Daphnia pulex: one gene and its partners. The protein of the gene in region 3 purifies or fractionates together with the protein of the main gene of each other region. This does not show direct contact. Links are inferred from orthologs where the notes say so. Each region holds a gene or a part of one and is shown on either strand. Other genes may lie near its edges.

Region 1 (3,753 bases), on a different chromosome or scaffold from region 3:
GAACACAGTTGAACGCATTTCATTCATTAATTGTTTCATTGCGTTTTCAGGAAAAACAGAAGAATTGATCAAATCAAGCGCCCGTACCAGTTTGTCCAACGGGGCTGCACCAACTCCTCCTCAATACCGTATCTCACCCCTTCCCTCGAATAAAATCCGCACGAAAGCTTTGCTTAACGGATCCTCGACTGGTGGTGGAAGACGTTCGATTTTTGAAGGATTGAGCGACGAAGAAGAAGGTGAGGAGAACGGAGCTGGATCGGAAGCGAAAACAGATTTCTTCGTACCTCGACGAAGTGTCAAGAAACTTCAACTGAAAGCCATTTCCCTCGACACTACCGTCGATACTGATAATAAGCCGGACGATGATGCTGAACCCATCAAATCAGCACCGTTAATCACACCTTCTGAAGAAAGACCTGTTGTCCTAGACTCTCGACCAGATCTTAGAGTCCGAGAAGAACTTGATGATAGTTTGACTGTGTTGAAGATACGTAGACCAACTGTTGCGTTCCTTAACCAATCAGCGATGCTAGAACGCAGTAGTATGCTGGATGAAACTGGCCTTGGAGAAGGGGAAGTCACTGTTGCAGAGGAAATCAGTGAAACAGTCGAAGAAGAAATCGTGCCTCCTCACCCTGCTGGCATAGTTTTACGTCGTTGCGGATATTCGACAATGCCGACCATGGAAGACTTGGCAATCAAAGGATTGGATGAAAATGGGAAGTGTATTATTACTTCGTTTTCTATTATTCGTCAGGGCTATGGTCGAATATTTTTCGAAGGCCCTTTGGATGTCGCGAACTTGAATCTGGATGAAATTGGTTAGTGACCTCACAATAATTCTTTAAAAAAACGTATTGTTAACCCTCTTTTTTTGTTGTCTAGTATTGTTTCGCCACAAGGAAGTGACTGTATACCCCGATGATTCAAAGAAACCTCCTGAAGGAGAAGGACTAAATCGCAAAGCTGAAATCACTTTGGACCGCGTCTGGCCTGTAGATAAATCCACTGGAGACTACATCACCAATCCTGAGAGATTAGCTGTTTTGCGTTACGAAGAACGACTTGCCCGAGCTGCCCATCGCCTACAAGCTAAATTCATCGAGTACCGACCTGAAACAGGATCCTGGGTGTTTCGAGTGAACCATTTCTCCAAATATGGATTGGAGGATTCTGATGAAGAAAGTGAACTTCCAGCCGCTCCACCCAAAGCCGCTGCTGCTCTTCCAACTACACAAGGCCAGGCAGCTCAAACCACCGTCATTGGTGCTGGTATGTTTATCCCCTTTCCGATTTTAGTTTTGTTTATCTAACGTTTGTCGTTGTTTCCATTTTTGTAGGTATGGGATTAGGAGGATTGTCTGCGACTATTGCTCAAGTCACCTCAATGTCGATGACATTTGAAGAAGATATGGGTGTCGAAGACGATTTGGTTATTCCTCGGTTCGCTGATGAGTTCGATGACTCGGTGCGCGTCCAGTCACCTCCGCCCGTCAGTACGCAGTTGGCCAGAACATTGGGCATGCCTTCTCAGCGAGTTCAAATTATGAAAGCATCTTTCTTCGATGCCGATAACGATTATATGCAAGACGTTTCCATGGGTAAGTTTGTGCTCATTATTTTTATTAGAAAATTTGCTCAAATTGAAATATACATCTCCTTTCAGGTATTGGAAGCTTCTTCGATCAATCTGTGCGGATGTCTCAGTCGATTGCACCAAGAAAAGACATGAGTCGCCTCTTCAAAGATTCCCCTGCGCAGAGTCCAGGAAGCCTCTTCAAGTCTAGCGCCATTCCTGGAATCCAACAACCAGAGGACCTTAATAGGTCGCATGTACCGATGGATCAATCCTTCACTGCCATAGCTAAACTGCAACAGACTACTGAAATCGAAAACTTGTCAACTTACGTCAGATTGGAACACGCCCGAAATTCAGAACAATGCCGAAAAGTGGTACCACGATTCGCCACAGCTGAGATTCCCCTCTCTCGGTCCATCATTCGGGACAAATTTGGAATTGTTATGGATGCTTCCTTGTTCCAGAATCGTCGGTCACGTGTAGGATGGGGTCCCGATTTGCAACACTTGGAGCTCTCGACCACAACTCGACTCTCACTATTATCGGTGAAAACGTCTGATCTGAAGCAGAACATCGATCTGGAAGAGGATATTTTCAGTGTTGACAGCAAAAATCCATACGTTGTCTTACTAGCGACGTATTTGAACTTTACAAAGGCAACTGTAGTTGACGGTGTGCCAACTCTGCGTCCAGTACCAGGATCGCAAGCTGTTGGTTTCCTCAAAGCAGCCACCGAGAGCTTACTCTCCAAACTGAAGAACAAGGGCAATCCGGAGGCGTTGCAGCTGCTCAACTATATGGGCAAAGTTTGGAATCTTTGCATCGCTCTTTGGGGTCCTTTGGACGTCGAGGCTGGTTCGCACGCGGAAACTATGGCTAGGAAGGAAACTTTGACGCAGTGGCTGGAAGAAGCTACCATGGAGACAAATATCACCGGTCTGAATGAAGAAGAAGAGGTATCCATAACTTTTTTTTTAATGTTGTGTTTATGTAAATTGTAAATCACTTGTTTGTTTCGGTGTTAGGTCTTGACTCTACTAGCTCGCCACGACGTTGCTGGCGCTGCTCGCCTTGCTCACAAGAACGGCGAATACTATCTGGCGTTGCTGATTTCACAAGCAGGATCGTCCCTGGCTTTCAAGGGAATGCTTCAACGCCAACTGAACCTCTGGACGGAAAACCGCGCCGATGCCTTCATCACTCAAGATCGTCTTCGCGTCTTTGCCTTATTGGCTGGAATCACCGTCTGGGAAACCACTGAGGGCAAGATCAACACCTGTGAAGGAATGGATTGGATCAAGGCATTGGCCCATCATCTATGGTACGTCATTTCCCCGGTTGGGAGCATCACTGACGCCTTGCTCGAGTACGAGGCCGCTTGCGGAATATCGTCAGATCAGAACGAAGCTGAAATCTATGCCAGTGAGCCAGCTCCTTCCTATTCACAAACATCTACTTCGTTCAGGTAAGCCTTTTTATTCGTTGATTAACCATTGGAACTGTCATTTAGGTTTTGAAATTTCTCTTTTCAGAGACTTGTGTTTCCAACTGATTTCACTCTACTGCCACCGTACGACTCCGCTGGAAAAGTTGGTCAATCCTCTGAGCCACACATGGAACGTATGCGAAAATGTTTTGTCTTGGTTGCTGTGGCAGCAACTCCAAGCCTTGGGCTACTCACATCTTTCGGAAACTGCTGCTGCCCAGTTGTCAATTGCGTTCGCTTCCCAGTTGGAAAATTGTGGCCTCTGGCATTGGGCCATTTTTGTTGCGATGCATCTGAAATCGTCACCGTCTTTCGTTCAAGCGTTTGTCGAAGACATCCTCGGCCGTCATATCGGACAAGAAAAGGACGAGCAGTGCGAGCGTTTCCTGGTCGAAAAACTTTGCGTTCCGTCTCAGTGGATCGAGAAATGTCGAGCAGTTAAGGCGCTCTATGCGTTTAATCCGAAACTGCAGGCCACTTCCCTGCTTGCCGCTGGACTTTACAGCCAAGCCCATGACGTCATCTGTGATGAACTTGCTCCGGAAGCTATCCTGTCTGAATCCTATCAGGAGTTGGAGGAACTCTTGGCTCCCTTGGCTGACCCGGAACGATTCAGTACGATTGCCGATTGGTACCTAAAGGGCAAGGTTTATTGGAATTACATCACAGTCGTCAAAGCCGTAGA
Region 2 (3,661 bases), on a different chromosome or scaffold from region 3:
ACTTAAACAGCGTATTTCTATTTGTATTAACCTGCTAACTTCAAATCTAAAAAAAAAAACTGTAAAGAGAATGAAGTTCACTTGCTAGAATTATACAAATTTACCGGAAGGAACTGATAGCTCAATTTCCCATGTTTAAAAATGATTTTTTTAAAACTAAAATCGTAAATTTTTGTGATGGCTATCACTAGTTTAGGGAAAATCACGAATAGGATGATTTTCCTATATTTCCTACAGACACATGCAATCGACCCAAAATTTGACGAAGATCACAAATCCTTAGTTCTTTTCTTATTTGCGTCAAAATAATACTTACTGATAATATTTACGGAACTACTGACTTTTAAACTGGAGGTAGACAAAAACAAACGTTTGCAAAAATCTAACAGGTGAGTTTTGTAATATTCAGTTTTTGTCAAAAATCACAAAAATGACCTTACAGTTTATTGTTGTAAATGTCCTTAGAGATGTGTAAATGTATGCAGTAATGCAGCTGAAAATGATCAAATCATTTGAATCATTTCCCTCCTAACAAAAAAACAAATAGCTACTCTACTAGAGAAAAGTGTTTTTATAACAACTTGACCCTAAACGAATGTGACATGAAAAAATGACATAGTTTAAAACTCCATATCATTTCATTTATTTCTTCAGAACAACTTTCCATTTTCGAGACCATGGGTTTCTCCAGAAATGAAAACTCCCAGTTATTTGTGTGGATTGGAAGAGACATATTATTATCATAAAAATTGGGAAGTAAATGTTAGTGCCAGGGTACTTGATTTGGATTGCTGATTGCGCCAAGTTTAAAGTAACGAGCAGTTGCTGCAGAAACGGTTTTATCACGATCAGTTCCGTCTTCTGGACTTACACCCGATCCATCACCTTTCAACACGGCAATGCATTTCCAATTCTGCAAATAGTTGGCTGTGGAAATAGACAGTAAAAACAGCTGATTTAATAGGCCAGACATGGCATTAAATATTTCTTGATTTCTTGCCTTTCCACATTCTTAAACAGCCGTCATCTCCTGAAGAAGCTAGAATAGTTCCAGTAATGTTCCAAGAGATTCTCCAAACAGTAGAATGATGGTCATCAAATTGGGCTGCCTGCAGTATCTCCAACTGGGAAGTTGGACAAGCTGCTGCATAAGCATCTTTCCTTTAATAAAAAAAATTATAAATTTATTCTTATTCCATCCTTAAAATATTTTAACTACTTACTGAGGTGGTTTAAGAATAACTATTCTAACATCTTTGCTTGCAATTCCTAGAATGTGGTAACTTCTTCCCAAGTTAGGTGCAAATGCTATGTCATGCACTGGGTCGACTATTGTGTTGATAGTTTCAGCTTTAGACCAGCGATGGGAGCTTTCACTGTACTCAAACAGAAACACTTTTCCACCAGAGGCGACATTCGTGTCATCACTACCAACTGCCAACATTGGAGGATGGAGACGAGAAAATGACGGATTCCATGATAGACAAGACACAGGCATTTTCAGTGTTATTTCTTGCTGCAAACTCCATTGACTTAGGTTCATAATGTCTGGGGCTTCATATATTCTAACCTATTATGTTATAAAATTGACATTTTCATCTGGTTTATATATTTAACAATGTAATAAATATATCTTAGAACTTACTCCTCCATCAGCTGAACACATAGCTAACAATAGTCCCATGTGTTTTGGAGCAAATTTGATGTCAGTCACATTGGTTCTTGAATCTACCAAACTTGTCCTTTTCACCCAATGACTTTGGTTTTTACTCTGCGTTGAATTCCCTGATTCACCAACTGGATATGCATTTAGTAACTAATTTAAGTTGTTAAAATTGTAAAGAATTTTACAAACCAATTTCTTCCCAAATTGCAGCTGTTCTGTCAAATGAGCAAGTGGCTAAAATTTGACCAAATTCAGGATGAGCCCAATTTACTTTCCAAACAGAACCAGCATGAGTCTTCCAATCAGCAGTCAATCTCCATTCATCATTTTCATCCAGGTCAAAAACCTTGAAAGATAATTCCGCAATTTAGTTAACACAAGAAATTTTTTTCGATTTCTAACAATTTACTTTAACACTCTGGTCGGAGGAACAAGTAGCCAATCGACGCCCATAAAAATCATAAGCTACATCATGAATCAGGTCTTTGTGTTCAGCATTTATCGTTCTTGCTTGAAACATGTTTACAGAACTTTTTAAATCACTTCTTAATCACGAGAAACAAGTTTTTGCTTGCAAATTTCACAGAATTAAGAAAGCAAGAACGCAAGCAGCCGACAGCTCGACTGATCAAACTTCAAATGTATGGCACTATGGCAGTATGGGACAGTTGTGGGCGTTGCCAGATTGATTCATGAAAGAAACGATGTTTTTTCTGATATTGTTGGTTGGCTGACTTGGCTCATTGCTGGGGAGTGGTTGCTAGGTAACAAATATGCTTTACAAAACAAACAAAAATTTAAAGTGACGATGATCGTGTTAGTTGCTCATTACCTGCTTTTTTTCATCTTAAAGAAGGTGGAGGCTTACGATGTCATATTGTCTTCGTTTCCTGAAAGCTGCAATCGTTCCTCCTACTTTGATTCGATATCACATAAGTGCAAAGGTTGCGGGGTCTTTCAAATATCTTCCGATGACCGTTTGAGTTGTGAGTGTGGCTTTGGCTACTACCCTGAATTTAATGAAAAGTCCAAAGCAATTGAATGCTTACGCTGTAACCAATCAATTCAGTCAGAAATGTGTCTAAAAAGCAATCTCACGTGTGAACCGTACGACATCAAAGGTATGAAAAACGCACATTTACCTAGGTCCTATCTGCTAAGTATAGTAAAGAAGAATTAATTTCTGAATTTTTATCACAGTCCTTCAAATTACTGGAAATATTACCTCCGCACGATGTCTGAAATGCCCGCTTTGGCATCAGCCTGATGACACAAAATCTTCGTGCGTTCCTTGTTCGAACATGTGTCATTGTCCTAGTGAATACGAAGATGTGAACGGAACTTGCGTCAAAGATTTATTCACGATTCCCGAAACACCCACTATCTTTACATATAACTTACACGGGAGACCTTACATTTCTAATTATTTGCGGAATTGGGTTAGATTGACGGCAATTAAATGCAAGGTAGGAATTATTTACCATGTTTGTGCTATTAAACACCAATTTTTTTTCTTTAAAGGCACACGGTGGAGGAAAATACTGCGAACATCTGATCAATCTCTGTGTCTTAACGGATTACAACTACGATTCTCAGTCAGCTTGCTCTCTTTATCGACAATTATCTGGAGGCTTTAGCAATTCAATATACTACGACGATAGTCAAAACGAATATCTACTAAACTCCGCCAGGATAAACATACTGAAAGATCAAGTAGCATCTATAACTTTTACGGACTAAACAGGAAAAGTTTTTCATTAATGACTTTTTTTAGAAAATGGATTTTATGGTTAAACAATACGCATTAGATGGTACATATTTATTGATCCAGCCTCTTCAATCGGTTTTTAAATCATTGTGCTGCACTGGAACTTGGAAACCAATCCAACGAAATGCCAATATTTATCACAGCTGTTCGGTTTATTCGAAAGTTTTCAACATGGCTGATATGCGCTTTTATGAAATTTATTTCGTTGATCGGGCAATTAATCAATC
Region 3 (3,753 bases):
TAAAAGGGAAAAAAAAAGCTTTTAAAAAACAAGAAAATTTTTAGTTGTTTTTGTTTCTTCAATTTGAAAGGAAAATAAGCACTTGGAGGGGAAACTAATATTATCACCTCTTTCACTTCTTATTCTTGTGTGCTAGAGAATAACACATGTACACACACACTCGCAGGTACCGGAAGGAAAATCTATCTGAAACTTCCGGGGAGGGATATCAAAAAAGTTTTGTTTCATTTCCCCCCAGCACGTTGTTTGAGCTACATCCCGTTTTAATATACATACACAACGATCGAGAAATATTTTAATTATTCGTCACGTTGTAGCCTATATAATCCGGAATTCGTCAATATATCTAAAAGGAAAGGCGGATAAATCTAGAACTGTACACATCACACACACGCACGTATACAGCCCAACAACACTGGTTTCGTGATGTTTGTGCTATCGTCCCGTTTGGGAATATATAGCATGCCCTAGCTCCTGGCTCGACCGCAATTGTATCCAACTCTTAATAAGTTAGTCCTATCTCACTAATCTTTTCATTTCAAATGGGTGGGGAAAAAACGTGGAAGAAGATGGAGATAAAATATAATCGTTCACTCACCGATGACGTTGATTGTATCTAGACGGTTGTAGATGATTTAAAAACTCACTCACAACACACTAAAAACCACGAGGTAATAGAAAAAAAGGTAATCCTCTTCAAGTTTTCCAACAAGGCCCGTTGTGAAAAGATGGTTGTTGCATCGAGCGTGGCGAGATTTGCGTTCAACTTTTTGGGAATTTGAGAAACCAAAAGATAAAAATGGCTTGAAAGTAATTTCCAAGACTTGGTTTGCCCCCACCACCACTTTCGTTCTCGTTCTTTCCTGTTGTTTTTGTCCCGCACCGGTTCACGTTGGCCGGGGTAGGTGGGACGGTCGTGACTCGACTCTCGACTGCAACTGACTCGGATCGGACGATTCGGCTCGTGCTCGACCATTCTGCTCACCAGAGGCGCCACTAGTAATCGACTTCCTTGATGTATCCATCCGCCCGTTAAATAGATCCTCGTTTACTTTATCAGATCAATTACGCAATTCAATCAAGTAACACATGAATCAATTAAAGTAGGTTTAACTTTAATGTTCAATTTACATGCATCGCTGTGTCAAATGAAAAACATTTTCACCAATTTCACCAATCAGTTTTCTTGAATTATTGTGCTAAATTTAATCTGAAATGATACTTTAGTATTTAATATGATTTTAAAATCCAAATTCATGTATGCAAAACACATCATTAAAAAAATAAGAGAAGAAAAGTAAAAGAAATTGAGTTGTATGAGGCACGGCAACATTGCGCCGCCATTAGCACCGTCAGATTTTATTTTTAAACGTGCCAGACGACAATTTTTTCAAAATATCTCAAGTCTCTAAAAAGTGAAGGAACTGAATAAATACCGAACAAATGGATAGAAAAAATTTGCTGAAAGCCGGGCGGAGAAAGTATGTGTTAAACAAGTTGTGTTAAGTTGATCAAACATGCTAAGATCCCATTTTCTTTCTTTCAGTTCATTGAATGTCAGTTCACGTTCGTTGAATGCATCATCTCGTAATTTGGCTGAATCGTCAAATTATGCCTTAGAAAATTATGGGACAGCTTTACCCGTAGCTGTAATTGAACTCATTTCCTCGGCAGAAAGTAAGTTGATAAATATGTGACCCTACTCGACCAAATTAAATTTCATGTTCGCTTTCAGGGAAAGCGGAATGCAGTGTTACACTGTCTAAAGATGGCTGGGCCTGGTTTGTGTGTGGACGGCAACTTGTCATATGGAAGTACTCCAAGGCGGCTGGTGCCAACACAGTATCAACACCTTCAAGGAAATCAATTGCTGTTTCTTCCCCAAAGTCTCATGAGTTGACCTTACCTCCAAGTGATCTAGCACACAAATCAGATCTTGTGGCGGTTTTCTGCTCAGAAGCTGACAGTGTCCCATCGTGCATTGCTGTGTCACCAGAAGGAACTGTCCGTTACTGGGATTCCATTGCTCACGAAAACTTTTTTGTTGAAATCAATGCTGATCTTCAGGTAAAATTTCAGATTAAAATTCTTATCGAACAACAAGTAATTGCAGTATTGAAATTAACAGGGTCAAGAATGTGATACTCTGAGTGAAGCTATGCCTCTGGGCTGTTTGGTAGCCACAACAACTGCCAGTGTCCTGCTGTTGACACCTCGCCTGACTGATGGCAGTCCCAACATACAGTGCCGGAATTTCAAGACACCGCAGGGACTATTAGGTTCCATTAGCCGTAGAATGTCGTCGTTGATATTTGGACCCATTTCAACACATCAGTCGATGGAGACACGGCTAGTCAAACTATTGAGCCAGAAAAAAGATAGTCACACTTTGGAAGTTCAAATCCTTTGCAGTCAAACTTTGCAGTATTGGCAGGTAAATCTACATAAAAATCTGCAAGATAACCCACTAAACTTGTTTTGTGTCTAGGTTGGTGAAACAGAGCGGCTATTATATCAGTGTGATATTGACAAATGGGCTAGGGAGTCTCTTATTGCGCACGTCTGGAGCCGAAGTGACCGCAACAGCATCCACAAATTGAGAGTCTGGATTCTTGATGCCCAAGTTTACAAAAACGACTTAATCTTGCTGATCGCCGCCTCCAATCCCAACCTGAGTTCCCAAATCCAATACGCCTTGGCCGCTCTGCCAATGCAAAGTAGCTCGCCACCTACTGGTTTTTCCTCCTTTTGTGTCCTCAAGTATGCCACAGCCATGGCTGAGCGATCAGATTCATCTTTACAGGAATCGTCCCCTCCCCAGTGTCGCTTTGTTCTCGTGGGATCGACGGCCTACTTGTACTCTGATAAATGGATCCTGTGTGTACCGTCCAACGAGCCACTAGAAGAACCCGACAAGCTTGAAGTCAAGGCTGCCAATGAACGTTTCCTAGGTGCAGGAGTCTTTAATCAGCGACCCGTTTTCTTCTCTACCCGTCACGGTGTTTTGATTTTACAACCTTCAATCGGTGGACCGAATGACAGCCAATCTTTTATTGATGAATCCATTATGGAACATTCCCAGATTATGGCCGAAAACCTTGATCCCGCCCAGGTATGTTGAAAAGTTTATCAGTGTTTTTCAAGGTGAATTACAGCATTTCATTTTACTTGCAGAATGAATCTACCTCATCAAAATTGAGATTGGCTTTCATCAATTTCTGTCGCAAAAATATTTATGAAACACAGTCGCTTCTAGAAGAATTATTTGCCTCTCCAACCAGTAAAGGCCAAATAGATTCGCTCATGGATAGAATGGTGGTTGATTTCAGTCAACAAATCATCGACGACTATCCAGCCACAGATCCTCGTTGGACAGATTCAGTTCCAGCTGGCCACGAGTCAACGTTCACCACCGTCTCCTTATTAGTCCTGCATCAGTTGGAAGATAAAGTCAAGGCTCACGACCTGTTCCTTACTTTCCTTCGGTACGTCACACTATATACTAGTCTTTATTCATTAACATTCTGTTCACGTTTTCAAAAATTATTCAGGAACATGTCAATTTGGGGCGACTTGACAGCCATTGGTGACCGTCGCGGTGCTAAATCTAGTGCATTTGTTTTGATGGAACATGCCGAGAAATTGCGTGCATCCTTGGCCCTACGAGCCCTTCATACGCCTGGTTCAACACTTATTGATGCTTCCATCCGACGGGTCCTTCAAGAAAGAGCAGTCGAACTGACAAATGACAAA

The links.
Region 1: the proteins of nuclear pore complex protein Nup133-like (region 3) and nuclear pore complex protein Nup98-Nup96-like purify together in Homo sapiens (affinity purification with mass spectrometry; 6 studies listed by BioGRID and IntAct, with this or other methods). This does not show direct contact. The link is inferred for Daphnia pulex from reciprocal best matches to the Homo sapiens genes NUP133 and NUP98.
Region 2: the proteins of nuclear pore complex protein Nup133-like (region 3) and nucleoporin SEH1-like purify together in Homo sapiens (affinity purification with mass spectrometry; 4 studies listed by BioGRID and IntAct, with this or other methods). This does not show direct contact. The link is inferred for Daphnia pulex from reciprocal best matches to the Homo sapiens genes NUP133 and SEH1L.

The regions. Positions count from the first base shown.
Region 1 is NC_060021.1:8,263,687-8,267,439, forward strand, and holds part of nuclear pore complex protein Nup98-Nup96-like, read left to right. Parts: intron 1-50; coding exon 51-824; intron 825-888; coding exon 889-1,275; intron 1,276-1,343; coding exon 1,344-1,604; intron 1,605-1,669; coding exon 1,670-2,538; intron 2,539-2,607; coding exon 2,608-3,047; intron 3,048-3,114; coding exon 3,115-3,753. UniProt on the Homo sapiens protein: Plays a role in the nuclear pore complex (NPC) assembly and/or maintenance. NUP98 and NUP96 are involved in the bidirectional transport across the NPC. May anchor NUP153 and TPR to the NPC.
Region 2 is NC_060020.1:7,749,565-7,753,225, reverse strand, and holds nucleoporin SEH1-like, read right to left. Parts: upstream 2,362-3,661; 5' UTR 2,187-2,361; coding exon 2,076-2,186; intron 2,013-2,075; coding exon 1,856-2,012; intron 1,798-1,855; coding exon 1,646-1,797; intron 1,571-1,645; coding exon 1,224-1,570; intron 1,162-1,223; coding exon 1,001-1,161; intron 928-1,000; coding exon 764-927; 3' UTR 620-763; downstream 1-619. Other genes in the region: meckelin-like, read left to right, coding at 2,475-2,787, 2,867-3,132, 3,188-3,379, 3,441-3,661. UniProt on the Homo sapiens protein: Component of the Nup107-160 subcomplex of the nuclear pore complex (NPC). The Nup107-160 subcomplex is required for the assembly of a functional NPC.
Region 3 is NC_060023.1:10,064,698-10,068,450, forward strand, and holds the start of nuclear pore complex protein Nup133-like, read left to right. Parts: upstream 1-1,039; 5' UTR 1,040-1,443; coding exon 1,444-1,481; intron 1,482-1,546; coding exon 1,547-1,677; intron 1,678-1,735; coding exon 1,736-2,067; intron 2,068-2,128; coding exon 2,129-2,434; intron 2,435-2,488; coding exon 2,489-3,112; intron 3,113-3,174; coding exon 3,175-3,485; intron 3,486-3,551; coding exon 3,552-3,753. UniProt on the Homo sapiens protein: Involved in poly(A)+ RNA transport. Involved in nephrogenesis.